Rattus norvegicus: one gene and its partners. The protein of the gene in region 1 interacts with the protein of each later gene in a pairwise test. Links are inferred from orthologs where the notes say so. Each region holds a gene or a part of one and is shown in the gene's direction. Other genes may lie near its edges. The genes, in order: Nudt18, Glul, Hsd17b14, Apip, Rab3il1, Evi5l and Dut.

Region 1 (4,129 bases):
CTCTGTGTGTGTGTGTGTGTGTGTGTGTGTGTGTGTGTGTGTGTGTGTGTGTGTGTTCTCGCGTGCTGGTGTGTTCTATGGGCTATGGCTTTGATATCCTACCTAGAGAATAGGTGGGCTGTCTGGTTCAAATAGTCAGTCCACAGCTTCTCCCAGGCTGCTATCTTGGCTTCTCAACAAGCATGGAAAAGGAGGGCTGTTACAGACCTACTGTACAGATGAGGACATTGAGGCCACCCAGGACACAGAGCAAGTCAGCCAGGAGTGGCTGGATGTCTGGTTTAAACTCCAGAGCTGTGTCAGCACCACCAAGCCACTGTCCCCCAAAGGAGGTACACAGAGCCAGCAGAAGGCTGGGAGGAGGGAAGGGAAGGCAGGGATGGAGTGAGGAGCCCAGACTTGGCCTGCTCTGTGGATTCCTCCCAGCTGGCCCTGCCTTCCTGTCCTGAGTGGAGGTTAAAGAAGCTCAGAGGAGGAAAGGTCAGGCTGGGAGAGAAGCAGGAGCTAGCCAAAACAATCCACACCCTGTTCCCCATGGCCAGGACCTGAACGCTGGGTAGGAGGGCACCACCCCTGCCCTCTAAAGATGTAGTCTGCTTCAGAAGCCTTGAAACTACAAGGGAAATGCATTGAGCATAGGAATCGGATACAGGCTACAGTGCTGACTTAAAGCTCCTTTTCATCCCCCAATAGCTTCTTCTCATTCCAGCCCTGTCCCACCTTGACCACCTGTCCTACCCCTCCTCTAAGGCCTGTCAATCATGTTTTGTTTTGTTTTATCCCCCAAACCAACCCTTTAGCCTAGGACTTTTAAAATGGCTTGTGTCCGTCGACCTAGACAGAGCAGAATTCCTAACGCAACGTTATGTGTCTCAGAACATTTTAACGAAGTCAGAAAGTTATTTGGGGCCAATCTGTCCTGAGCACTTCTCTAGTTTGTTTATGGTAAAAGCTGGACCGGTGGGAGCAAACGGCGGAGCCTCGGCTTCCGTAATGTCATCGGACAAGTGACGCCATCGACCCTGGTCACGGTGGTGTTCATCACCCTACAGGCAGGATGACATCACCGTCGGAACCCGCACGGACAAGTGCGTGCTGGGTGAATTAGCTAATTGCTGGGGAGAGTGTGGAGTGAGCGACCAGCGGCTAAACCCCGGGAGAGGAGGGGGCAGAGGGAGGATCCCGGAGCCCCGCCCCCTCGGTAACCGCTGCGAGATGGCCAATCCGGGCAGGCCGCAGTGATGCGCAGCCTATCAGAGACCAGATGTCTCCCGGAGGTTCCGCGTTAGACTTGGCCCTCAAGGCAGGGGGGGGGGGGGGGGGGAGCGGCCCACCGCAGCTCAAGTCCCTGCTGCCTGCCTCCGGGGGTCTGGCAGGTCCCGGCCTGCCACCTCCCCGGAGACTTGATGGCCACGGAGGGCCTGGCAGGGGCGCTGGCCACCGTGCTGGGGGGGAAGGGGTTGCTGGTGCAGAGCTGTGACTCGGAGCCGGCTGGCAAGCCGCTGTTGCCCGTGCGACTGCGGAAGAATGTCTGCTACGTGGTGCTGGCCGTGTTCCTCAACGAGCAGGTGAGCGTCCGACGACTAGCCAGCCTTCGGCTGGTCTCGGGAGCGTGCCGCCTGCCCTGATCGAAACAGGCGAGCCAACGGCCGCTGCCTGTGCGTGGCGATCCCAATGTTGCAAAGCACTCTCACACTAGCAACTGAGCAGAGATTGTCCTTATATAGACTCTATAATATAGAAGAAGAAGCTGAGGTCCCGGAGCAGTTATCTCATTCACTAGACCTCGTCCCACACCAGGAGAGGCCTGTAGTATTCCTCCTTCCTTTCCAGGAGTCTAGCAGTGCCTGACATGCAACGGGGATTTCCTGGACTCTCCCGGCCCCAAGGGTAGAAATGGGAAGCTTACATGCAGGCCTCCGACCCTCAGAGTTCTTTTTAGTGATTACCTCTGTATAAGTCAGCGTTATAAAATCCTGGCCAGGGGTTGGGGATTTGGCTCAGTGGTAGAGCGCTTGCCTAGCAACCGCAAGGCCCTGGGTTCGGTCCCCAGCTCCGGGGGGGGGGGGGGGGGGCGCGGGTATCCTGGTCAAGTAGGGGTAGGCTGGTATGGAGGTGGAGCTGAGTTTCAAAGCCTCAGATCTTAGATTGAGGATCTGACACAAGCGGTTTGTAAGTCACATGGAAACAAGAGCAAGACAGTGGCATAAATGAGTCAGTATAGGAGTGGTGGCAGCCTTCAGGATGAGGCCTCCTTAGAGCAACGCCCAAGGACCTCAGACCCTTTCTACAACAGAAATTCCTCCGGGTCCAAAGTTGAGTTACAACAAAAAGGAGGCAGCCACAGCTCTCAGCCTCACCAGGGCCTGGCTCCTGGGGATCCAGCATCATGAAGGTGTCTCTACTAAAGGAGCTTTGGACCACCATCCAGGTAGGAGCTGCTCTTTTGAAGCTCCCAGATTAGCTGGAAAGTGAAGATTGTCTTGCTTCCCTCTCAGGATGAGGTGTTGATGATCCAGGAGGCCAAGAGAGAATGCCGGGGAACATGGTACCTCCCGGCAGGAAGAATGGAACCAGGGGAGACCATCGTGGAGGCCATGCAGCGGGAGGTGAAGGAGGAGGCTGGGCTGCTCTGTGAGCCAGTGACACTGCTGTCTGTGGAGGAGAGGGGTGCCTCTTGGATCCGTTTTGTATTCCTTGCTCGACCAACAGGTACAACACAGCTGGTAGCATTCAAGCACCTTTCTTATTGTTTCTTCTTCTTAGCCAGCCATACTGTGGGCTTCTGCACATTGCCCAGGCTAAGAGGCTACAAGCTAAGAGTTTTGGGGTCTCCTGGGGGTGTTTGGGGGGCCATTTACTCTCTCAGGCTCTACACTTCTCATATTGGCCCTCTCCCCATCCTCCAAATCTCTCCTAGGTGGAGTTCTCAAGACTTCCAAGAATGCTGATTCTGAGTCCCTACAGGCTGGCTGGTACCCACGGGTCTCCCTGCCCACACCGCTTAGAGCTCATGATGTTGTGCACCTGGTAGAGCTAGGTGCCAAATTCTGCCAACAAGCCACACACCCTCTCATTCTGCCTCAAGAGCTTCCCTGCAATATGGTCTGCCAGCGGCTGGTGGCCACCTTTACAACAGTTCAGTCAGTGTGGGTGTTGGTGGGTACAGTGGGGACACCTCACTTGCCCATCACTGCCTGTGGCTTTACCCCTATGGAACAAAGAGGTGGCATCAAGGTGGCCATCTTGAGGCTACTACAAGAGTGTCTGACTCTGCACAGTTTGGCAGTGGAGACCAAGGGGTTGCTTGGGCTGCAACATCTCGGCAGAGACCACGTGGATGGTATCTGCCTGAATGTGCTGGTGACAGTGGCTTTTCGGAACCCAGGAATCCAAGATGAGCCCCCAAAGATTCGGGGGGAAAACTACTTTTGGTGGAAGGTACTGGAGGAAGACTTACAAAAACAGCTTCTACACAGACTCCAGGAATCTTCTGTTGTCCCCCTGACCAGATAGATACCAGCAGTGACCAAAAGCTGAGCAGCCACCCTCCCTCTGAGGCAGTGAAGAGACTGGCAGTCAGGGGTCTCATTGCACATTACTCAGGTACAGGAACTACACATTGAGCCCAAAGGGAGGGTGCCATGAATCCAGTCATTCTGAGGGCACACGATGCTTCTCTTTAAGTTTGAAAGGAGCTTTTCGAACCGTAAATGGCACCATCTTCTCTGTCCACTTTGGAAAAGGCCGCATGTCAATCCTTCCAACCCCACAGCAATGTAGAGGGGGATGGGACAAGGGGGATGCATCCCTCAGGGCAGAGTCCTCATTGCTGAGTAAAAAGGTGTTGCTTAACTTGCCTACTTGCCTAAATGTCTGTGTGGGGAGGATATGGGGCATTGTCCCACCCATAGCCACCCAGGTCTTTCCTTACTGATTCTATGCAGGGGTGTAGGGCTCCTGGAGTAGACATTGCTCCTCACTGAAGCCTCGACCCACCCAGGCTCTCTTTAGTGTTTCTGTCCTGTTGGGGCAGGCGTGGGACTTTGAAGTGACCACACCCCTAATAAAAACAGAGCTCAGACCTGTCCAGGTGGTGAATGGTTTGGTCTGGTGAAACTGCCTATGG
Region 2 (4,140 bases), on another chromosome or scaffold:
GAGCCACAGTGTTAGACACACTTAGGGGAGTTGACAGAGGTTGACTTAAGAGGCCGAGCTATGTGTGTGTGGTCACAGGCAACATTTCTTTTTCATATTTGTGGTGCAAAACATAACCAGAAGAACAAACTCCATCCCTTCCTCTTCCAAAGGCACCAAGAGCATGGATTTCTGGTGTTAGAAAATCTCCATCTCAAACACCAGGGCTCCTGAAAACATATAATAAAGACCGGACATGAGGTAGATTTCATGTACTAGACACAGATTGCTCAGAACGTGGCATTAATAATATATGGGCCACGTCTATTTTTACAGGTAATTTCTGTGCACATTTTCAGTTTGTCTCATAGTGTTTACACATTATCTCAGCCAACACTGCAGGGTTAAGAAAGGAAAGAGAAACTCATTCCCCCCCCCCCCGCCCCGCTCCCCACATACTTAAAAACAAACAAGAAGCAAAAGCAGGGATTTCTTTCTTCCCTTGCTTTCTTATTGTTTGTTGAGACACGTTTTCTCTGTGAAACCCTGGCTGTCCTGGAACTCCCTCTGTAGACCAGACTGGCCCCGAACTCCGGAGATCCACCAGCCTCTGACTCCTGAGTGCTAGTACTAAAGGTATGTGCCACCACCACTCTTTAGCACACGGTCTGCATCCTGACTTCAAGTCTGGTGGACCGCTTTGAAAGTCCTTCCATCTGCTTTATTTTGCAGATCTAAGGAACTCGGGCACTGAGAGGCTCAGAGACTTGCGAGACACACAAGGCAACGTCAGTCAGTCTACGGTCCTCAAAAATCCTCTTTATAGAAACGTCACACTTGTGTTTAAACCGTGAAATCACAGCCTGATCACATCCCCCAAACCCAGTCAGGAAGCCAGGAAGATGGGGTCCTCCAGGTTCCGGGAATCCTGTCTGTCTCTGGCTCGCTCAACAAAGGGTAAAATTCTCTTCTGGGGTTCTGGATTTTCACCGACAGATCTCTCCGAAAACCTCTGTACTGTTAAGGTAGCAAAGGACCAAGGCCAAATGACGCTGAGACAGTCTCAGCCTGGGTCCGAGGGTCCAGAGGTCGCTAAAGAACGCGTGCTGCAAAGGCGCACAGCACCTTCGGCCCCGGCCCCCCAGCCGCCGCTGCCTCCCCTCCCCCATTCCCCTTTCTCTTTCTTTCTTCTGGGTCGCTCGCCCCACCCCGCGGTTCCTCACGGCTCCTGGGCCAATGGTCTCAGGGCCCCGGTGCACAGCAACTGATGGGCACGGGGTTCCAGGCCTAGGCCAGCCAATCAGGGCGCCTGGGGGCGGGCACAAGCTGCCAATAAAAAGTACTGAGCAGCCCGCAACCCTGCACAGCCGAGAATGGGAGTAGGGCGGAGTGTTTGAGCAGCACACCCATTTCCTCTCCGCTCTTCGTCTCGTTCTCGTGGCCTGTCCACCCATCCATCATCCTGCCGGCCACCGCTCTGGTAAGCGCACGGAGGGTCCAGGGGTGCACAGCCACCCGGGCTGTGGCGTCGCACTCTACATCCCAGCTCCAGTCTGTTGCTGCTTGGCGCGGGATGCAGCGTTCGTGCCTCCCGCGTGCTTGTAGCGTGCGGCTCGGGCCGGCTCTGTTTGGCGTTCCTAGGGCGCGCTGTGAGCCAGGCTCCGGGAAGGGCGGGGTTGCGGGTTGTTATGATCTGTTTTTTACTTGAGGCGGGAGGCGCCGCCCCGGAGGCGGGCGTCCTGGGTTGGCTACCAAGCCGAGATCCGGGGCGACTCGGTGGTCCCAGCGGGAGTGCGCTCTTCTTGCCTTAAGTGGGCGCCGGCGCCTTGATCCTCTCTGGGCGGCGCGATTGGGTGAGTTGTCACGCTGTGGGTGGTCTGGTTGAGGCTGGTGGTCGTTAGCTTTGGTGGCACCACTCGCCAGCACGCAACGCCTTTACCGTATGACCGAACAATGGAGAGCCGGGACCCCGGAGTGGCCGGAGGGCTCTGCAGTGGAGAGGCGGGGCCGGGCGGAGGCAGCAGCAGCACGCTGTGCCTCCCGCCGTCGCTCCACTCTCGCCGTCCGGCCTCTGTCCTCGCCGGGGTATGGCCCCTTGGGAGAGGCCTTGAGATCTGCGGGGGTCCGAGAGTCGGGGCGCCGACTTTCCGGTTATTTTAGTGGGAAGGGCTGCTTCTCAAAGTGGATTACCCCAACTCCTCCGGGGGCGGGAAGCGGGGATCCTCCCCCAACCGCAAATACTCAAAGAAAGCACCGGCTGAAGACATAGACGATGGAGAGTCTCGGTTCTCAGAGTCCCCTTCTAATACCTTCGGCTTCGTTGCCTACTCTGTGAACAACGGGGAGAAGTCGAGGGCTAAGGTTAAATCCCACCAGCCTACTTATTCCAGCACCTCCCACTCCGAACGATCTGGGTCCCCCATCCCATCGCCCTCACCCAGAAAGCAGCGTTGCTTAGACCAGCGAGAAATGGAGCTGGAGGAGAGGAACGAACACTACTCTAAAAAGAGGAGGATTAGAGAGTACAACCTCAATGTATTTGATTCACATTGGCTGGGGTGAGTAAAAAGGCAGGGAGAAGGACCCGGGTGCATCTGGCAACAAGCAGAAACTACTCAGAATCTTAAGAACCCGTTCCACTTTGCACCACAGGGACACTAGTTGGTGCTAGGTACACTAGGCTGCTGGTACCCAACTGGTTTCCAGGAACAGAGGAGGAACCCAGGTTCACCTAAAGATTGTTAAATGCTGGATGTGTAAGCCACAGGAGAGGCAAGCCGAGAGAGAATTGGGTGGTGTAAGTTGAAGCCATCTGGAATTACAGTCCAGGCCTCGGAGTGGTGTAGGTAGAGGTTCTGGTTCTGTGTAGAAATCCACCGCAGAGATTCATCTGTTCCCCAGGGAAAGGGTTAGGCTTTTGGAGGGAGAAGCACTTGTTTTCACTTGGGCAAACATGGACAGTTGCCCGTAGAAACTTTGCCACTGTACTTCAGAAAGTTGCCCAAGTCGCTGGGAGGAGAACAATATGTTCCCTTTCCATCTATCCTGGGTGATTAGGGAGGGGGATGTTTCCTCTTGGGTTGAGGCTGGTTTTGCAGGCTCTGATTCATAGAGGATCTTGTCCCCTGCTCCTGTGACTTGTAATCTTGTGCCCCCGGGGTCTTTATTAGAGGTGGGATTTTTTTCTACTCACCAGAAAATATCATCTGGTGGGATCTTCTCAAATACTGTAATTTTCGCATTGAAATCTGTCTCTGGAGGAAGGACTTTTCATCCCAGTAATGAAGTCAGCCATTGAGGCCTGGTGTAGAGGGGAATACCTTTAATCCCAGTTCTCAGGAGACCGGTAGATTGTCTGATTTCAGGAAATCTTGGTCTTCATAATGAGTACCAGGACAGAGAGGGCTTGTAGAGAATTCCGTCCCCCCCCCCCCAAAATCAGCAGTGTACTCGTTCAAGTATGGCTTTTACTTTTCACCACATTAGTGGTGGCATTTAATACAGGGTTGTTTTTCTTTCTCCGAGGAGTATGTGAGTGTGTAAAATCTTACTAGCTCCAGTGTATCATTGTTAAATCTAACTTGGCAGTGGCACACACTTTTAATTTTAGCATTCGGGAAGCCAAGGCTGGCCGATGTGGGTATGAGGCTAGCCTGGTCTACATCGCAAATCCCAGGGCTACATAACTAGGTAAACCGTCTAAATGCAGGGACTAGGGGTCATGATGGGGTGTGCGTGTCCCTTAAGGTTGTTACAGGAATAGGAGGTGACAAAGGAAGGCTCAACAGTCCATTAGTCAAGGCTTTCTGTGGCAGTGAGGTAGTTCTGTTGGGTGGAATGAGTTATGTTAATGAGCTTTTTGATATTTTGTTCTGTTTTACTAATGTATCTCAAGGTTAACAGTTATTAAAATCCCTTAACTAGTCCCCCTGAGGGGGACGATCTTTGTCTAGTAGGAAACGTTAAACCTCTTGCAAACAGAGTGAATAAAGCACCTTTTACGTGTGTTGAGTCCCAAAGGAGAGAGAGCACGGTGCCCTCCATCCAGTCTGACTCCTTTGCCACTCCTGCAGGGGATCCCTTTGGAGTAGATGTTAACCGAACGATCTTCGTCTCTCTCCAGAACACCTTCCACCATGGCCACCTCAGCAAGTTCCCACT
Region 3 (4,192 bases), on another chromosome or scaffold:
GGGGTGGGGGGGTCAATTCTTGATGCAGACAGGGGAGCAGTGGTGTTATTATAGTTTCCTGTGTACCAAACAAGTCCCCAGAACTTCTGAGTCCCTTGAGTTCCCGAGGTAACTACAAAAAAGCCAGGAAGCCCCTGGTGGTGGGTCAGAGACTGCAGAGCTCTTGTGGCCTGAATCAGATCCAGCTGTTCATCCAGTAATGGTGACCTCCCTGCTGGTCTACTGGTAACAAAGCCTGTGCTTAACGTCCTCTAGATAAAAGCTAGGAAGAACTCCCCGGGAGCCTCGGTGGCCTGTTTGACACGTGGCTTATTTTCTGTAGTCCTAGGCACTCCACAACCTACTCACCCGTGTCTGGAGGCCACCGGGAACGAGTGCTCAGCCTCTCCCAAGCTCTTGCTACAGAGGCTTCCCAGTGGCACAGGCTGATGACAGGTGAGGTGCCCAGGCTCTGAACCCCCGCATCTGAGGAAGGAGGCCTGGAAGTTTGGACTTTACACGTTTAAGTTAACACTTTTCTCATTCTCCGTTTAGCCTCTCCAGAGAGAAATTTGGACACCAGGGGAGACTGTCTCCAGCCAAGTCCACAGCCTCCCAGTGAAGAGCTGCCCCAGGTCACCTCGTCCCCAACTTCTCACAAGGCTAACTCGGCTACCACAGGGTTCTCATGCCAAGGGAGTGGGAGAGGCCTGGCTCCGTGGGAGCCCAGGTGGGACCCTGGGAAGGCCCCTCCAGCTCTGGCCCAGGAAGAGGGGGCATGGCCCCTGAGAGTCACTCTGCTGCAGTCCAGCTTTTGACTCCTGCCTTTGCACTGGGTGCTAAAGGCTGGAAGCACAACCTTGAGGTGTGGGACCATTCAGGACCACAGGGGAGAGGTTCATTTCAGCCTGTGTTCTAGGAGGGCCGGGGCTATGATGGTCAAAGATTGATTATCCCAACACTGTCCGAACTTGGATTAAAACTTTGAACTAGTCAATAAATAGCTTTATTCTCTCTGTGGTTGTGACATTGTGTTCTGACAAACAAGCGTCAGGGCCTTGGATTCACAGGACATTGGGGGGCTACATCTTAAAATATGGGTCTGAGGGAGGAGGTTGGAGTCTGGATCCTGAGTCAAGGCAGAAGTGGTGCTGGTCTTACAAGTCAAAGGGAGCAGGGCTAGAGTCAGTCTGAGGGGGCAGAGCTGGGGTGGGGGTCCCTGAGCCTGGAAGAGGAGTGTCAGGATGGGGATCCCTGGGTCTGAAGGAGGATCATCACGGGTGGGGACCCTGGGTCTGAGAAAGAGGGCTAGGAAGGAGAGTCCTCAGTTCTCCTAGGTGTGCCTTCCTGGGAACTCCCCCTGCCAGGGTCAGCCTTCAGTGACCCAGCCTGTATATCTGGTTCCACTCCCCCGCTTCTCTGGACTTTAAAGGTGGGAAGAGGCCCAGAGGGTGTGGGACACGAGCGAGATAGCTGGGAATGGCTGCAGTAGGCCGATATTCTGGGAAGGTGGTGGTGGTGACTGGGGGCAGTCGGGGCATCGGGGCTGCGATCGTGAGAGCCTTCGGTGAGTAAGGGTCTTCCCGCCTGCTGCCTGAATTGTAGGAGAGAAAGAGCGGCTGGCAGAGGCTCCCACAGTGGGAGGAGGAGACTCAGGTTCATTTCTTTAATGATTTGTTTGTTTTTAATTTTCTCTGTGCGTTGTCGTTGTACCTGGGTGAGGTTGTCAGATCCCTCCTAACCGGAGTTATAAACAGTTGTGAGCTGCCATGTGGACGGTGGGAACTGAACCTGTGTCCTTTGGAAAAGCAGCCAGTGCTCTTAACCGCTGAGCCATTTCTCTGGTCCCTCCGTTTCATTCTTACATGAATCCATTTGGATTGTTGGGTCTTTGTTGATAGGTCGGTCATTAAAAGTTCTTCCACTGGCCTGGCAGTGGTGGTATATGCCTACAATCCCAGCACTTGGGAGGCAGAGGCAGGTGGATCTCTGAGTTTGAGGCCAGCCAGGAGAGTGAGTTCCAGGACAGCCAGGGCTACACAGAGCAACTCTATCTCAAAAATCCAAAAAAAAAAAAAAAAAAAAAAAAAAGTTCTTCCCCAGATGGGTCCCTAGCTGCAAATGATAGCTTTGTGTGTTTTATTGTTTGTAGGTTTTGGATTTTTCTAGAATCCAGGATGGGGGCCAAGCAGTGGCTTAATGAGGAAGGGTAATTTGTTGCTCTTGTGAGTGGAGACAATCTTGTGAGAGAGACAATCACGAGAGCCGCCAGAGAGGCAGGTGCTCTGGTGGCCACAAGAGGGCAGCAGAGGCAGTGACGCAAGTCTGCAGGGCAGGTAACATCGTTCTCTTTCTGTTGGCAGTGGACAGTGGGGCTCAAGTGGTTTTCTGTGACAAGGATGGTGAGTGAATCAGTGTTCATCTCTCCCTTGCCTCATCAATGATCTCTGCATAGCTCTCCTCCCTCAGACCCACATTCCTAAGCCTCCTCCCTCGGACCCAGAATCTTTCTCTTGCAGAGGCTGGGGGCCGGGCTGTGGAGCAGGAACTCTTGGGCACTGTCTTCATCCCCGGTGACGTGACTCAGGAAGGAGATTTACAGGTCAGTGTTTTCTGTCCCACACTCCATCGCCAGTCCCTCTGGGTATCCATGCCCTTGTCACCTCCGTCCTTCTGCCCTCTTCTCTCTCAGGTCTTTAGGAATGATCAGGACTTGAACTCTTGGCTCCTGTAACAAGTTTCTGACTTCCTGGCACTCAGAATCTCTTATGTGTTTCCAGGTCTAGCTCCTATCTGGGCCTCTGTCTTTCTTTGTCTCTCTGCTCCCCACTGCACTCGGGTCTGTAGACTCTCCTTCTGAGGCTCTGTCTTCTGCACACACACCCCTCCGAAGTCTTCTAAAATGGTGTGCTGGTTAGTGTTAAATCGACTGGACACAAGCTAGAGTCATTGGGAAGAGGGAATCTCACTAGAAAATGGCCCCACCAAATTGGCATGTGGGCAAGCCTGTTGGTCACTTAATTAATTAGTGGTTGATGTGGGAGTTTCCCCAGCTCCCTGGGGGTTGTGACATTGCAGGGCAGGTGGTCCTGGATAGTCTAAGAAAAGGGGCTGGACGAGGCATGGGAACAAGCCAGCGAACAGTGTTCGTCCACAGCCTCTGCTTCAGTCCCAGCCTTGAGCTTCTGCTCTGAGTCCCTGTCCTGGCTTCCCTCAGTGATAGATATGACCTGGGAGCTGTAGGCAGACATTAATCATCTCCTCTCCAGGTTGCTTTTGGTCATGGTGCTTATCACAGCAATAGGAACGCTGTGACAAGTGGCAACTGTGCTGTGTGGATCAGTCCTTTTAGTCTGGGTCCTCGACTTCCTGCATCCTCCTCTCTTTCTAGACCTATTCTGTGGCCCTGGTCCCCTTCCACCTCACCCTACCCTGTCTTCCTTAGCTGAGCCCATCCTTGCCTTGGGCCTCCTGGCTTTTCCAAGGCTGTCACCTCTCAGCTCATCACCTGCTCTTTCTTCTCTCCTCAGACTCTGATTTCTGAGACTGTCTCTCGATTTGGTCACCTGGATTGTGTGGTGAATAATGCCGGCTACCGTAAGTTGTGTGGTTTGGAGGCCAGTGTCCCTGACATCTACTTATACCCTCTTCCCCATTCCTCTCTTAAAAATTATTGCCCTATCTATCTATCTATCTATCTATCTATCTATCTATCTATTATCTATCTATTATTTATCTATCTGTCTATCTATTATCTATCTGTCTATCGATGTGCATGTGTGTAAGCGTGTGCTTGCACAAGCACTCGCACTCTCATGCACAGTAAGTACTTCTCTGGTGTTCAGTGCAACAAGAGGGAATCAGTTCTCTCCTTCGGCCATGTGGGATTGAGTTCAGGTTATCAGGCTTGGCACAAGTGTAAAGGTACAGTTGAGCCATTTCAACAGCCCAATCCTTCCTCTGAACCTCAGTTTACCCCTTCCTCAGGACACATAGCCCTCTGCCTCCCGCGTGCGCGCACATGTGTGTGTGTGTGTGTGTGTGTGTGTGTTTACACTTGCATGTATGTCTGTTCTCCCCTTGCATGACTGGTGCCCACAGAGACCAGAAGGAGTTGGATCCCCTGCAACTGGAGTTACAGGCAGTTCTGAGCCACCATGTGGGTGCTGGGAGTTGAACCTAGTTCTCTGGACCAGCAGCCATGCTCTAAACC
Region 4 (2,537 bases), on another chromosome or scaffold:
ACGAGCTGAGGACTCACAAGGCCCAGGGTTCAGTCCTCAGCAGCAGAGCCAAGCAAAACAAAGTCAGCATTAAACACTTCCTGTTACCAAGTGAGGTAAGCATGCGTTAATGTAGCTGCTGTCCACGTTGGAAACACTGTGCTCTGCTAGAGTGCAAAGGATACTAAGGGCCAGTCAAAGGACTTGTGTGGCTCTGTTTCACATGTATTTAACTTGTGAGGATCGATATCCTCTTGGTAAAGTGAGGGATGGGCTTGAATTATTTTCTGGTCTCACTGTGCTTTGAAATTATTTTGTGCCTGGAAATATTTCTGACTGTGTGGTATATGCTATGGGAAAATACAAGTCTGCCAGTCTTCTGGGTAGTTTCAGGAAAGATCTGAGGCCAGCAATTCTCTCCTTCCAATTATACAATGAATATTGTATAATTACTTCTGTCTGAACTACAATGGAGTCATGGGCAAGTCTATACTACCATGATAATGGTTGCCCAAATTATTAATCACACAACAGCTCCCTAGTCTATGCCAGCCTGAAAGTGGTCATTTCTGATAACACTTTGAATGCTTATTAAGTTTACTCACTGTTCGATGAGAAGGCAGCCTGAAAGAAATCCATGATTAAATGAAAAGTTGTCTGAGTTGTCATTGGTTACAAGGGAACTCAAGAAAAGGCTTAGATTATTTATAGCAAAGTTGCTTGCTTGAACTTTGTTATATTCTGACTTTATTTCATGTATTTATTGAGGAAAAAGGTAGAAAGTTCTAATACAGCAGATTTGAGATTATTTTGAAAGGATTATCGTAACCTTGGTAATTGTTGCTAGAAGGGTCTTTCTAATCTGGTGCCACAAACCACACCTCTATTGATTGGTTTGCCTGTCAAGACATTTTAGGATTCTGCCGAGATGAAATATAATGATTTCTTTTTATACTGCTGGGAAATGTTCCTATTGTTAATATATAGTTCAATGTCTCTTCCTTTCTGCACTTCTGTGTGTGAGGTATATCATCTCCTATCTCATGTTTAAAATGTTATGATTATCTTTGCTTCAAGGAAATACTTGTATGATCTTGATTTCTTTGTTAGGTTCTGGTATACTGTACAAGTTCCTGCCATCTAAACTTAGGGCTGCCTGCCAAATTCCAAAGGTGTCTTTTGGTATAAATGTTTATACAAGATATACAAGACTCTTGCCACATCTTGTTTTGAAGTTGGAGAAATCGGAGTGCTATTTAGAGATAAAGAGTTTCTGACTGGTTACTGACGGGAAAAATCAGAAATCGATTATTGATACTTTAATGGGGGAAAATGTCTTGTTCTGTCTTACAGATACGATGATATATTAGTGGTACCCATTATTGAGAACACTCCTGAAGAGAAGGACCTCAAAGAACGGATGGCTCGTGCCATGAATGAATACCCAGACTCCTGTGCAGTTCTAGTCAGGCGTCACGGGGTGTACGTGTGGGGAGAAACATGGGAGAAAGCAAAAACCATGTAAGACCGAATCTGAGGATATTTGGTACAAATCACACTCAGAATGTGGAAAGAACTCAACGGGTTTAGGATTTAGAATGAAATATGAGTCTTTTACATATTGTTGGTCAACATGTTTCAACTTCAGTAATCTATGTTACTTGTGGAGAGCTGATTTTCACTCTGTTGAATCATTGGGGAGTAGTGACTGAATCAGCTTTCAGTTAGGAAATTGTTGGGGTCAAAACAGAAAACCTTTGGTATAAGATAAGAGAAAAATGTAGGAAGAGCAGAGCAGAGCTCACATAGGGAGATATGGGGATCAAAAGAGCTCTGTCCAGACACACACGTGCAGGCCTTTTGCTCTTTCTTCTACAGGTGTGAGTGTTATGATTACCTGTTTGACATTGCTGTCTCCATGAAGAAGATGGGGCTGGATCCAACGCAGTTCCCAGTTGGAGAACATGGAATCGTATAAGCCAAGTGGACGCCTAAGAATCTCCAAAAATAAAACAAACTCAATTACGCCTTAAATAAAACTCTGCTACTTTTAAATGAGTTGGAAATTCTCTTGATGTCACTAATTTGTCACAGAATACTACCAATGGTCTCTTATACTGAATACTACCAGATAATCTCCTGTGACTTTAAATTCTTACAGTTTTAGGGGACAGGGAGGGGGGAATAAGAACGTATTTTATTTAGTGTTTTCTCATTTTAAAGATTATAAGAGAAATGTTTGCCTTCAAGTTAATTCCTTTTGTGTGCATTCTCAGAGAATTCTTTTTTATCTTTAAAGCACTGGTAATCATAGAATTTCCTTGAAATTTTCCACTTATTTATGGGATAACCATTTTATTTTAAGTTGATGCATAAAATATACATGAACTATTTAAAATTAGTGTGTCCTTCTTACTTGATGTAAAGATAATTGTATTGATTTCCCTTATATACTGTAGTACTTCTTCTACACAGGCTTAGTGAGTACCCATCATCAAAAATATTAAGAGCATTGTGTGAAATTCCCTCCAGTCTAAGTTGTCTGAGTAACAAATGAA
Region 5 (4,285 bases), on another chromosome or scaffold:
GTGGGTGGGCTTTCTTTTGCTGTTGTGGGGTTTTATTTTGTTTTGATTTTTGACTTTTGAGACAGGGTTTCTCTGTGTAGCAGTCCTAGCTGTCCTGGAACTTACTTTGTAGAGCAGGTTGGCCTTGAACTCGGAGTTCTGCCTCCCTTTGCCTCCAGAGTGCTGGGATTAAAGGTGCGTGCCATCATTCCCTGGCTTTCTTTTCTGTTTTTTTTTTTTTTTTTTTTTTCCTTTTTCTTTTTTTCGGAGCTGGGGACCGAACCCAGGGCCTTGCGCTTCCTAGGCAAGCGCTCTACCACTGAGCTAAATCCCCAACCCCTCTTTTCTGTTTTTAAAAGAGATAATCCGTTGGTGAAGGTGGGTTCTAGGCAAGTCTGGCAGTAGAGGTCTCCCATTTACCATACTGGAATTCCATAAGCCAAGCATGCAGTTGCAGCCAATGAGGGCATTGAGGAGGAAGTGTCCGTTTAGCCCAGGGTCTGGAGACCAACCTAGGCAGTATATGACCCACACCCACTGAGGAAGAGGGGCCTAAGGGAAAGGAGAGAGGGAGGTAGGAGTTCCGGCCTGGAGAAACTCTTGGTTTCACGTGGCCTGAGCAGTTCAGAAGGGGCAGCTGAATGCCTGTTTGTGTGGATGGATGAGTGAGATGTGTTCTTAAAAGCCCAGAGAGTGCTGTAGACCCTGCCTGTGGGAGCTGGTCTTAGTTCTCAAGGAGGGGCTGACTCTGGGCTCTACTTGTTGGATCCTGATCTGAGGCTGAACTTCATTCAGGTCAGTGGTTAGGATAAAAGGAGGGCATAGGAACTGAGGGAAAAGTGGCAAAGGATTCAAGCTTTTTACAGATTTTTTTTTTAAAGTACCTGGGACAGACAGGTGCTAGTGAGGTTGGCAGAGTAGTCTCCAGAGTTTAGGATGGCTCGAAGGCTGGGATGAACTAGTATTCAGAGATATAAGAGGAGGGGCCTGGAAGCAAAGCTGGTAAGATTGGGCCGAAGTAGTGCTCTCTTAGCTTAAACCGCTCAATGAATATTCGTTTAGGGTCTGCCCCGCCCCCTTCCCAGAAGCCCAGTGTCACTCTGGGATTGATGCAAAGCTATGAGCTCCAGAGTCTGGTAACAGGGTTAGAAGTCTGAATGAGGGTGCAGGAGCTGTTTGCCCACTTTGAGTGACAATCTGCCCGAGAAATAGAGCTGAGATCCCCGAGAGCCATTGTAGGTTCTCAAGCAAGGGTGCTTTAAAAGTGCAAGGCAGAGAGTGATAGGGAAAGGCGGAAGCCAGATCTGGATGCGAGATGATGGGACCAGTCCCGTTCTCGCTCCGGAGGGTCATTGTCCCCAAGCAGCAAGAGGGACAGGGCTGGGCCGGCAGAGGGGCGGGGCCGGGCACGTGGCCTGGGGCCCGCCTCAAGGACACGTGACCCGCCCAGGGCAGGGGAAGGTCTGGGGTGGGGCGGAGCCGCAAACCCTTGGCGGCCAGCGGGACAGACTGGCGGAGGAGCGATTGACAGGCGGCAGGGCAGCTCTGGGGCCCGGCAGAGTTGGTGGTGCGCGTGGACGCGGCTGCGGCGGAGACCTCGGGATGTGGAGCGGGTAGGTCCCCGCACGCCGGTGGCTCTGCGCTCGGTCTGGGCCACGCTGGCCTCCTGGGATGGGAGAACAGGGGATCATTGCTGTTGTTTGTACCCCACTTGGGAAATAATCTGTACTCTCAGCCCTGCCTGCTGCGGCGAGGTGCATTGTAGCATGAGGACACACTGCAGCCTGAGATCTGAAAGGACCTTGGCAGGACCGATCTGAGTTGCCCCAGGGTGGGAAGGGTGATCCTAGCTCCAGTGGAGCGCATGAGAGAAGTGGTGGTGATGGGGATGAGTAAGTAGTATGTATACCTCAAACTGGGGCACACATTTAAAGGAGGGAACACCCATAAACTCTGGGGAAGCAGTGCAGTTGAGAAAGCTAGCTGTGTCTCTCCAAGGTCTCTGGCTAGTTGACTGGAACCTGGAGGGGCATAGGCATAGACCCTGAGTCCTGAGTGAACCCGTTTCCCACCCCTCATCCCCACTCCCATCTGTTAGGGCCATCGGTTCTTTTTTTTTTTTTTTTTTTGGTTCTTTTTTTCGGAAGGGCCATCGGTTCTTAAGGCTGACTCCTGTTCTTGGCCAGTCTAGTAGGAGTCCCAGCCTCGTGTTCACATAAAGTTGATGTCCTTTCTTGAATTTAGGCAAATGCCTTCTCCTTCCTGGGCTGCAAAGGGTCTTGGGGGTGTTCCTGCTAAGAACTGTTTCAGGATAGGCAGACGATAGGCACGATAGATAAGCGGAGGGAGGAAACCCTGGGGAGGGGAACAGGTAAGATCTATTTACTCTCATGGACCCCAGCTGAGTTTGAGCTGAAATGCTGGGGAGCTTCGAGCTTTGCCGCTTCAACCCCAGCCAGGGCACCAGAACTGAGCTCCCGGGAGGTGTAGGCAGGCTTGATCTTTTAGAGGGAGCAGAAGCCAGCCTGTGTTTGTTGGGAATTTGCTCCAGGGAAAGAAGCTAGCTAGACTTGGGAAGTGTTTTGGATGGGTTCAAGGAGCCTGCCTCAGATTGAGGCAATCCCACTTAGGGATGCATTGCCTGAGGCTGTGTGTTTGAGGAGCAGCCTGGTCTGAAAGGAGCTGTGAGCCTTTCTGCTGGGCGAACTGAGACAGTTGCTGTATAACCCTTAGGGTGACAACTCCCCTTCTCTGGGCTGGAGTCAGCTTGAGTACTTTGGGTGTGCGTGTGTGTGTGTGTGTGGGGGGGGGGTATGTGTTACCGGAGGAGATGCCAGGTGTCCTTCCTGTCTCCACTGTATTCCCAGGTCTCTTCACTAACCCTGGGACTTGTTTAGCCAAGCTGGTGGCTAGTATACACCACTGATTCTCATGGTGCTGTGTCCCACTCTTACCCACTAAGCCATCTCCCAGCCTTTGTACATAGGGTTCGGAATGCTCTGGGGACTTAGGGGCCTTGGAGCAGTCCACTCCCTACAGCTGTTAAGAGGGACCACGCTCTGGGTCACACACTGCAGGTCACTCTATGAGATCCCTAGAAGCTGATGTCAACTCTAAGGGCTATATCCTAGGAGGTATGTATCCTAGCCCAGGAAGGGTTGGGGCCTGGCTTCCTGCTGTAAATGGAACTGAGCTATGGTGTTTGTTTACGGCAGAGTCCTAAATGGAGATAAGCCAAAGTGACTGGCTGGATCCTGTAGGAGTCAGGAGTAGAGATCCTTTTGAAGATAAACCTTGAACTCTGAAGTAAATGGCCATACTAATCTGATTTTTGGAGTAAAGGAAGTGGGTACAGGGTCTCATGTAGCCCAGGTTGGCCTCAAACTCCCTGTATAGCCAAGGATGACCCTCTCTCTCCATCTCCCAAGTACTGGGATTACAGGCATGTGCCACAATGCCTGGTTTAGAGTTTAGAAGTGAGGAGGACAGGATCTAGACCTTTGTGTTCTGGGCCAGGACTCAGGCAACTGGGCTGCATAGCCAACCTAAGTGTCGTTTTGGTTTGCTTTATTTTGGACACAGGTTCTTACCATGTAGACTAAACTGATCTGGAACTCTCTTTAAAGACATTTTTATTAGTGTGGTGTGTGTGTGTGTGTGTGTGTGTGTGTGTGTGTGTGTGTGTGTGTATGGTGTGTGTATATGTATGTGTGTGTATGTATGTATGTGTGTGTGATGTATGTGTGTGTGTGTATGGTGTGTGTATATGTATGTGTGTGTATGTATGTATGTGTGTGTGATGTATGTGTGTGTATGTGTGTGTATGTGTGTGTATGTATGTGTGTGTATATGTGTGTATGTGTGTGTATGTGTGTGTGTATGTATGTGTGTGTGTAAGTGTGCATGTGTGTATGTATGTGTGTGTATATGTGTGTGTATGTGTGTGTATGTATGTGTGTGTGTATGTGTGTGTATGTGTGTGTGTATGTATGTGTGTGTGTAAGTGTGCGTAAGATGGAGGGAGAGAGCACATGTGTCACCACACACACATGATAAGGTCAGAGGGCAACTTTGTGGGTTTGGTACTCTACTTTTATGTGGGTTCTAGGGATCAAACTGAGGCCCCCCAAGCTTATACAGCAAGCCTCTTTCCTCCTTAACCGTCTCACTGGCCTAGAACTCTTAACCCTCTCTGATTAGCCTCCAGGATGCTGCACTGCTATGCCTAGCTATCTAACCTCACTTCCAGGGGCTCCACCTCCCCCACAGACCGCAGACTGGGCTTCCCCTCCTCCATCTCCTACAG
Region 6 (3,500 bases), on another chromosome or scaffold:
AGATTCTAAGAAATAGGCCAGGCAGTGGTGGTGCACACCTTTAATTGCAGCACCTGAGAGGCAGAGGCAGGCAGATCTCTGAGCTTAAGTTTCAGTATTGAAAAAAAGGAAACCAAAACAAAAAACAAACCAAGATTCTAAGTGATGGGGGGTGGGGGAGGAGTGACTTCCCAATAGAAGTCACTCTTGAGCATCTGGGATCCTTTCTGCCCTGAGGAACCCCAGGCTCTGTCAGATAGAACCCAGAGCCAGCAACCTAGCACTGGGGAGAAGAAGAAGCCAACAGCAGCTGGTCTGGGGAGGTCCTACTGACTCTTTCCTACCCACTGCTGCAGGTCCCCAGAGCTTGCCTGCAAAGTAACCCCTGGCTGACTTTGAGAGGTGTTTAGTATGTTTTCATCTCAGCTTTCAGCCTGGGGGTACAGAAAGGAGCCAGGTATCTTGAGGTAGCCTCCTACCGTGCTCCTCCCTGCCTGTGCCTTCCCCTGGCACAGCCTGCTAAATCAGAAGCCAGCTTTGCCCTCACCATGGTTTCCCCATGACACAGGCCCCTAACCCTCCCAGCATCTTCCAGCTGGTGCTTCAGGAAAGAATGCACAAAGACCACAGTTGTGTCTGCGAACACGGGCATACATTGTCCGAGGCTGCCTGACTGGAGCAGCTGGGCAGAGGAATAGGACCTCTGGGCTTGTCTACCCACTTCCTAAGGAGAGTTCCCCCATGCTCAGACCCCATTCATCCCAGCCCTGCCTTCAGGAGGTCCTCTAGCCTGATTGTCTTAGTTTTATTTATTGTTAGGGTCAATGTGGGGGTGGGGAGAGGGAGAGAGAAGAAGGTGGCTCATGGCTCACAATACTCACAGTTCAATTCTGTTTCCACTCTGAGTTCTCTCTTACTCTTTCCATTGTTGGTTCCAGGGATAGAACTCAGGTCAGGCCCTGGGCAGTACATTCCTTTACAGGCCAAGCTGATCCCCACTTTCAACCCGCCTGATTTTCTCAAGCTTACCAGAAAGCATGCTGGGAAGGCAGGTCTCCCTCCTTCCCTAGTTGTTCCTTCTCCTACAGTCAATTCATTTGCACTACAAAAAAAGGGGGCTTGGGGACTGGAGAGATGGCTCAGTGGTTAAGAGCACTGACTGCTCTTCCAGAGGTCCTGAGTTCAAATCCCAGCAACCACATGGTGGCTCATAGCCATCTGTAGTGAGATCTGATGCCCTCTTCTGGTGTCTGAAGACAGCTACAGTGTACAATAAATAAATAAATAAATAAATAAATAAATAAATAAATAAATAAATAAATAAATAAATAAATAAATAAATAAATATCTTTAAAAACATACATTGGCTGAGTAACCAAAGACAGACAGCCCAGATGGCTGAGACAAAGGGAAGCCCCAGGCAGTAGCAGGATACAGTGGGAGCCTAGGCAAACCCTGGTGGCCGGGACCCAAGTGATCGTAACTCTCTGTGTCTCCACAGTACTTCCAGAGAGTGATCCCCCACCAGTTTGACAGCTGCCCAGACAAGCTGGTCCTCAAGGCTTACCAGGTCAAGTACAACCCTAAAAAGATGAAGAGGTCAGTGCCCGGGAACGAACGGAGAACTCAAAAGGGAAGCCCTCCTCACCTCAGGGAGGCGGGACTTTGACCGTGTGCCCCGTCCCCGCAGGCTGGAGAAGGAGTACGCAGCTATGAAGAGTAAGGAGATGGAGGAGCAGATCGAGATCAAAGTGAGTTCCAGAGGCGTGAGGGAGGGCAAAGATGGGCTGCCTTGAGGCTTTCCCTCGCAAAGCCAGAGCTGCCCGCTAGAGGGCAGTCCTAGCTAGCGCATGCACGGATAGAACGGGCTGGCCTGGGCGGACAACTTCTGGCTCCGGATTACCCTCGCTCACTTGCCCCTTCCTTCACCTGCCAGCCCCGCGTGGGAGCGCATTCCCCAATTGGCATGTCCTCAAAGCTGGCCTCACAACAGTAAACAAGACAGTCAAAGTTCCTTGCTTTCATGTCCCCGAACCCCCCATGTCATGGGGCGATAGTCAATAAATCACTGAAATAGTGTGGATTCCAGAGTGCTCCGGATATAGTCATACAAGAGACAGTCGCATCTGGGGAGACACTCTAGGTCCAAGAGTCCAGTGTAGAGGGCCTAGGATAGAAGAATGTGCCTGGTGGACAGGAGAACACCCTGGGGACACAGAGGTTGGGAGCTAAGGAGAAAGGCTCAGGCAAGCAGGCTATGTAGGCTAAGGTATGGTCATCCACTCAGGGTCCTGATTGTACTGTAGCAGCCAGCCAGCCCAGCGTCAGTTCCTTGAGTGCACAAAACGTCCAAAACCAAACTTACCTCTCAATGGCCTCTTCACCCCTCTTCATGTGATTTTAGCCATTCATCCAACAAACATCTTTTTTTTTTTTTTTTTGATTCTTTTTTTTCGGAGCTGGGGACCGAACCCAGGGCCTTGCACTTCCTAGGCAAGCGCTCTACCACTGAGCTAAATCCCCAACCCCAACAAACATCTATTGAAACAAAGATGAGACCTAGTCTTAAGTGACAAGGACCTGGCTTCCCAGATAAAGGCACTCTTGAGCATTGAGAGTCCCTCAATATCTTTCCAAGGAAGCCCAGGTGCTGCCAGGTACAACCCAGGGCCAGGATGTAGAAGAGAGGAGAAAGAAAAGCTCATACCCACCTACTCCAACTGACCAGCTAGCTACACGTTCCCAAAGCCTGCTAGCCAGGTTAAGGACCCTACAACCCAATATAGGGGACAGGCAAGGACACGAACCTCCATATAGACCTGGTTTTGTCCTCCACACTTGATGAATCAAAGTGGTTAGCACTGGTGTCCCACTGAAGACCAGCTGTGTGGCCCTGGCAGGTAAATTCACCTCTCTGAGCCTTGGAGCTTTGCTGTGATGTTCCTGTCACTGTCCGCCTCCAGTGCATTGTTTCTACCTCCTGTGGGAAGTCAGGGGCAGAGGCCTGTGCCGCAAGCTGAAGCACTTGGCCCTGTTGAGGCTTCCAGAAAGATTTCCATCCTGGGTTTGTGAGCCATCTCACAAGGAAGTGTTGCACTAGACCAAATGTGGTTTTTGCTGTGTGCAGATGAGCGGCCTGCTCTCATCAGGAGACTGTGAGGCCCAGAATAGACAAGAATGCCATAGACCTTGAGACCACAGGCCAGACTGAAAGTTTCCCCTGAGAAGAGATTTCACCAGAGGCCTTGAAGAGTCAGGCAGATGTCTCCTCACAGGGTATCTTACAAGTGTCCTGCAGTTTGGTCTCTCACTTTTAGCCTGTCTTAAAACATCCTGATTTGATGCTGGGAGGTGGTGATGCATGCCTTTAATCCCAACACTCGGAGGCAGAGGCAGGTGAATCTCTCAGTTTTGAGGTCACCCTGGTCAACAGAGCAAGTTATGGGACAGCCAGAGCTATACAGAGAAACCCTGTCTCACAAAAGCCAAATAAAGTAACAGAAACAAATCCCTTATTTGCT
Region 7 (3,500 bases), on another chromosome or scaffold:
CGCCCTCCAGGTACTTGGAATTGTAGGCCTTTGCCACCAGAGCCAGCATTGTTTTGGTTATTTATTTGCTTGCTAGTCTTAAGATTTTCCCATTTTCATGTTCCAAGCACATAAAATGACCTGGCTTCATAGAATTCAGGACACCTAGCTATTTGAATACAGGAGAACTTGCAGATACACAGCAAAAGGGTGTGTCTCGTGTGTGTGTGTGTGTGTGTGTGTGTGTGTGTGTGTGTGTGTGTGTGTGTGTGAGACTAGAAAATTACTATATTTGCAACTCATGAAAAAACACATTAAAAATCATAGACAATATAGAAACATGTATGGACATACAAGTGTTCATTATTCATACAGAAAGATGTCAGCCATGGGGAAAGGAGTGCTTTCTTTATTATATTGGCCAGCAGTTAAACTGCTACCATCTGTCCTAGCACAAATGGACCCTCAACTATTGCTGCTGGAAGCTGGAATGACTGCTGCTTTGGGGGGTTATCTAGCAGGGCCTCATATACATCTCCATCTGTGGGATGTCATACAGGTGAGGGTGGGTACAGGATAGAACCAGGCCTGTGATTGGATGAGAAGAAAGGATGGGCGGGAGAAAAGTTTGAGAGAAGAGGAGGAGACTAGAGGAGATGGTGGAGAAGCCACAGAGAGAACACGGCTGACGTTAAGATTCCATGCTGTGCCTTTACAGGTTGTTATGAATCAATTGGATCAGAGGTTGTGTGTTCTTTCTTGTGGCGATTTGTCTTTGGGAGAGGGTGTGGTGGCAGAGACATTGGGCCGCCATGGAGCTAGGATGTGTGCTTCTGATGAGATATCTTGGGGCACTACAGTGCCAAACCTAGCTGGGTAAAAGACAGCCCCTTTTTATAATTTTACAACAACATCCATCCTTTGACCCACAGAAGTTTTTGTAACTTCCTTGAGTTAGCACTAATGTACAGGTATATACATCAAGGACTGTTCTGTGTATGTCATAGCAGAAACATGAAGGCAACATAACTAACTGGTTTTATGTAAGACAATATTCATGTAAAAGTACTGGCGTTTTTTCTACATGTGTATCTAGAAGGAATGGCTAGAGTTCGTGCTGTTTCAGAGGATAACTGCTTTGGTTTTTTTTTTTGTTTTGTTTTGTTTTTGTTTTGTTTTTTTTTCGGGGCTGGGGACCGAACCCAGGGCCTTGCGCTCTCTAGGCAAGCGCTCTACTGCTGAGCTAAATCCCCAACCCCCGGATAACTGCTTTGGTGTCAATGTCACTGTTACTTCCTCAGATGGTGGATAAGATGGGGCCATACCCAAGCTGAATGAGTACACAGCTTGGAATGAGCTCAGAACATTTCCCTCTGTTTGAACTAGATCTAGACGTGGGCCTGGAAGCTTCTAGCCTCTGTACAGTCTAATCTGCGAAGGTGACTGATTCAGTCCAGCTTCTCCTGGCTTCTGAGCTCTGCCTAACGGTCTCACCCTGACTTGGACAATCTGTTCTAGTTGTCTGGCTCCTCCGTCTCTGGCTCATTCTGTCTTCATCTGTGTTTAGCTTGTTCTCTCTGCGATCTGTCTCTGTACGCTACTCCCCCACCCCCTTACGTACGTACGTACGTACGTAGCCTCTCTTCCTGTGCTGTTCATTGGGTGTCTGCTCTTCAGTTAGCTGTCACTTTCAAGCATGGCTGCTTTCCTTCTACAAACTGACCTTACCTTCACTGTTAGAGGTTGAAGGTGTACTAAGGGCATGTCTATTCTGACTGGATCATAGAGACATGAAGTCTTTGGATGTGATCCCTTGCCAGAGCAGACACACACTTTGGGTGGAAGAGTTAAAGTGATTATAAATTTTGTTACTATAATGTTGACTTCGCCTTGTGCATGGTGATACTGTTTGAGTAACCAAAAGAATTTGGAAGTCAGTCCAAGTTGTCTTCCACAGATTCACTTGCAATAGGCCTATTAGGCTGTACCTCAAAGGTCTTCCACGGTGGAAAATTTCCAGCCTTCTGTGATCATTCATTCCAACATGGAACAACTTGCTCTGTACTAAGGACTTGCCTTGTTAAGTGCAAGCGACATCATCTGCAGTCAACCTCTCTCCAAAGAGTATGAAAACAGCCGGCCCAATCTTCATGTCAGATCTTTTCCTAAGTACTAAGGACTAAACTAATAAACCGGTAAAAAGGAAACCTTATATAATAATTTGAATTGGTGAAAGGTTTGTTACTGTTCTGCTAAAAAAAAAAAAATAGATCGTCTAGACAGAATGAACTGCCTTTGACATGTGAATTAGATCTCCATGTTAGAAACGGAGGGCTGTTAGCCACATTATCTGTGCTTCTGTAAACACATCAAGTTCCTGGCTCCGGGACAGCTGAGGGCAAGTCTGGGGCATGTATCTTCTGGGCCGCAGCAAGGTCTCCTTTAAAGATCTATTTTACTTTATAATATCAAACAGGTACTAATTAGACATTTAAAACTAATCTTGGCCCAGCAAGATGGCTCGCTGGGTCCTCGCCTGCTCCGAGCCTAAGGACTTGAGTTCAGACCCACGTGGTGGCAGGGGACCCTTGGCTGAGCGGTTGTCTTCTGACCTCCACACATGTGCTGTTGCAACAACAGAAGTTTCAGGTGAACTCATTAAGCTTACCAGCCAGTGTTTATAGAGCGACTGGTTTTTAGAGGATGGGGTTGGAAATGAAAGGAAGAATGTAAGCATTGGCTCCGCCCCTATTCTAATGGCTGCAGGACGCCACTGAGCATGTGGCCACTGACCTCCCAGTGCAGGTCACCCGGCTTTGGAGCTTGTTCATGACTCAGAGTATCCGTGAGGCTGTTACCAAGAAGATGTGAGGTCCGGGCTTTAATTTTCTCATCTTCTCCAATGCAGGGCCTGGGTAGTGTCCTGGAGGTGGGAGATAGTACGAGCTGTGCTCAGCTTGCAGTGGGAAATGCTCACCACTTGATGAGCATTCAGACTGAAATCCGGGACACATTTTTTAAATTCTTGTATTTTAGTAAAACTCGTTCTCAGGCTCCGTAGGACCAGAGTGTGGCCTTGTCAGTTGTAATCTCAGAGACTCTTTGGAAAGGTGGTTTTGAGATCAGTGCAGACCCCCGATGTTCTGACGGCACGAATGAAGCTGACATTACTCTCTTCCAGCCGGTGTCATAGATGAAGATTATAGAGGAAATGTCGGCGTCGTGCTGTTCAATTTTGGAAAAGAGAAGTTCGAGGGTGAGTTAAATATGTTCATGTATGTAGAAAATGTGAGCTACCTGTGTCAGTGTAACTGACTGGTTCTCACTGAACAAGACAGAAAATAGGTCAGTACACATGGTGATCTGTGCTCTGCTCTTTCTTTGAAGTGAAAAAAGGTGACCGGATCGCGCAGCTCATTTGTGAGCGGATTCTTTATCCAGACTTAGAGGAGGTGCAAGTGAGTGTTGCTAACAGTGAGTGGAGAATGAATGATGTGTCCAGCAGAGGGCGGATGGCTCAG

What was found.
Region 2: the proteins of Nudt18 (region 1) and Glul interact in a two-hybrid assay, tested with the Homo sapiens proteins (2 studies listed by BioGRID and IntAct). The two-hybrid records come from large-scale screens. The link is inferred for Rattus norvegicus from reciprocal best matches to the Homo sapiens genes NUDT18 and GLUL.
Region 3: the proteins of Nudt18 (region 1) and Hsd17b14 interact in binary tests that used the Homo sapiens proteins (3 or more experiments, as listed by UniProt). The two-hybrid records come from large-scale screens. The link is inferred for Rattus norvegicus from reciprocal best matches to the Homo sapiens genes NUDT18 and HSD17B14.
Region 4: the proteins of Nudt18 (region 1) and Apip interact in binary tests that used the Homo sapiens proteins (3 or more experiments, as listed by UniProt). The two-hybrid records come from large-scale screens. The link is inferred for Rattus norvegicus from reciprocal best matches to the Homo sapiens genes NUDT18 and APIP.
Region 5: the proteins of Nudt18 (region 1) and Rab3il1 interact in binary tests that used the Homo sapiens proteins (3 or more experiments, as listed by UniProt). The two-hybrid records come from large-scale screens. The link is inferred for Rattus norvegicus from reciprocal best matches to the Homo sapiens genes NUDT18 and RAB3IL1.
Region 6: the proteins of Nudt18 (region 1) and Evi5l interact in binary tests that used the Homo sapiens proteins (3 or more experiments, as listed by UniProt). The two-hybrid records come from large-scale screens. The link is inferred for Rattus norvegicus from reciprocal best matches to the Homo sapiens genes NUDT18 and EVI5L.
Region 7: the proteins of Nudt18 (region 1) and Dut interact in binary tests that used the Homo sapiens proteins (3 or more experiments, as listed by UniProt). The two-hybrid records come from large-scale screens. The link is inferred for Rattus norvegicus from reciprocal best matches to the Homo sapiens genes NUDT18 and DUT.

Annotation. Positions count from the first base shown.
Region 1 is NC_086033.1:52,058,968-52,063,096, forward strand, and holds Nudt18 (8-oxo-dGDP phosphatase NUDT18), read left to right. Parts: upstream 1-1,329; 5' UTR 1,330-1,406; coding exon 1,407-1,568; intron 1,569-1,612; exon of another isoform or gene 1,613-1,890; intron 1,891-2,045; exon of another isoform or gene 2,046-2,389; coding exon of another isoform or gene 2,390-2,431; intron 2,432-2,498; coding exon 2,499-2,712; intron 2,713-2,920; coding exon 2,921-3,516; 3' UTR 3,517-3,855; downstream 3,856-4,129. UniProt on the Homo sapiens protein: Mediates the hydrolysis of oxidized nucleoside diphosphate derivatives. Hydrolyzes 8-oxo-7,8-dihydroguanine (8-oxo-Gua)-containing deoxyribo- and ribonucleoside diphosphates to the monophosphates. Hydrolyzes 8-oxo-dGDP and 8-oxo-GDP with the same efficiencies.
Region 2 is NC_086031.1:68,574,726-68,578,865, forward strand, and holds the start of Glul (glutamine synthetase), read left to right. Parts: upstream 1-1,340; 5' UTR 1,341-1,459; intron 1,460-1,810; exon of another isoform or gene 1,811-1,832; intron 1,833-2,123; exon of another isoform or gene 2,124-2,448; coding exon of another isoform or gene 2,449-2,537; intron 2,538-4,102; coding exon of another isoform or gene 4,103-4,115; coding exon 4,116-4,140. UniProt on the Homo sapiens protein: Glutamine synthetase that catalyzes the ATP-dependent conversion of glutamate and ammonia to glutamine.
Region 3 is NC_086019.1:105,164,303-105,168,494, forward strand, and holds the start of Hsd17b14 (17-beta-hydroxysteroid dehydrogenase 14), read left to right. Parts: upstream 1-1,392; 5' UTR 1,393-1,458; coding exon 1,459-1,546; exon of another isoform or gene 1,547-2,342; coding exon 2,343-2,381; intron 2,382-2,498; coding exon 2,499-2,581; intron 2,582-3,509; coding exon 3,510-3,576; intron 3,577-4,192. Other genes in the region: Plekha4 (pleckstrin homology domain-containing family A member 4), read left to right, coding at 323-435, 535-797. UniProt on the Homo sapiens protein: Catalyzes the NAD(+)-dependent oxidation of L-fucose, yielding L-fucono-1,5-lactone, which rapidly converts spontaneously to L-fucone-1,4-lactone. Can also act on D-arabinose and L-galactose, with lower catalytic efficiency. Does not use NADPH.
Region 4 is NC_086021.1:109,910,919-109,913,455, forward strand, and holds the end of Apip (methylthioribulose-1-phosphate dehydratase), read left to right. Parts: intron 1-1,332; coding exon 1,333-1,500; intron 1,501-1,857; coding exon 1,858-1,957; 3' UTR 1,958-2,037; downstream 2,038-2,537. UniProt on the Homo sapiens protein: Catalyzes the dehydration of methylthioribulose-1-phosphate (MTRu-1-P) into 2,3-diketo-5-methylthiopentyl-1-phosphate (DK-MTP-1-P).
Region 5 is NC_086019.1:216,086,419-216,090,703, forward strand, and holds the start of Rab3il1 (guanine nucleotide exchange factor for Rab-3A), read left to right. Parts: upstream 1-1,485; 5' UTR 1,486-1,581; coding exon 1,582-1,592; intron 1,593-4,285. UniProt on the Homo sapiens protein: Guanine nucleotide exchange factor (GEF) which may activate RAB3A, a GTPase that regulates synaptic vesicle exocytosis. Promotes the exchange of GDP to GTP, converting inactive GDP-bound Rab proteins into their active GTP-bound form.
Region 6 is NC_086030.1:7,341,492-7,344,991, forward strand, and holds part of Evi5l (EVI5-like protein), read left to right. Parts: intron 1-1,480; coding exon 1,481-1,578; intron 1,579-1,669; coding exon 1,670-1,730; intron 1,731-1,915; coding exon of another isoform or gene 1,916-1,975; exon of another isoform or gene 1,976-3,500. UniProt on the Homo sapiens protein: Functions as a GTPase-activating protein (GAP) with a broad specificity.
Region 7 is NC_086021.1:132,959,399-132,962,898, forward strand, and holds part of Dut (deoxyuridine 5'-triphosphate nucleotidohydrolase), read left to right. Parts: intron 1-1,936; coding exon of another isoform or gene 1,937-2,109; exon of another isoform or gene 2,110-2,495; coding exon of another isoform or gene 2,496-2,628; exon of another isoform or gene 2,629-3,160; coding exon 3,161-3,235; intron 3,236-3,366; coding exon 3,367-3,437; coding exon of another isoform or gene 3,438-3,453; intron 3,454-3,500. UniProt on the Homo sapiens protein: Catalyzes the cleavage of 2'-deoxyuridine 5'-triphosphate (dUTP) into 2'-deoxyuridine 5'-monophosphate (dUMP) and inorganic pyrophosphate and through its action efficiently prevents uracil misincorporation into DNA and at the same time provides dUMP, the substrate for de novo thymidylate biosynthesis.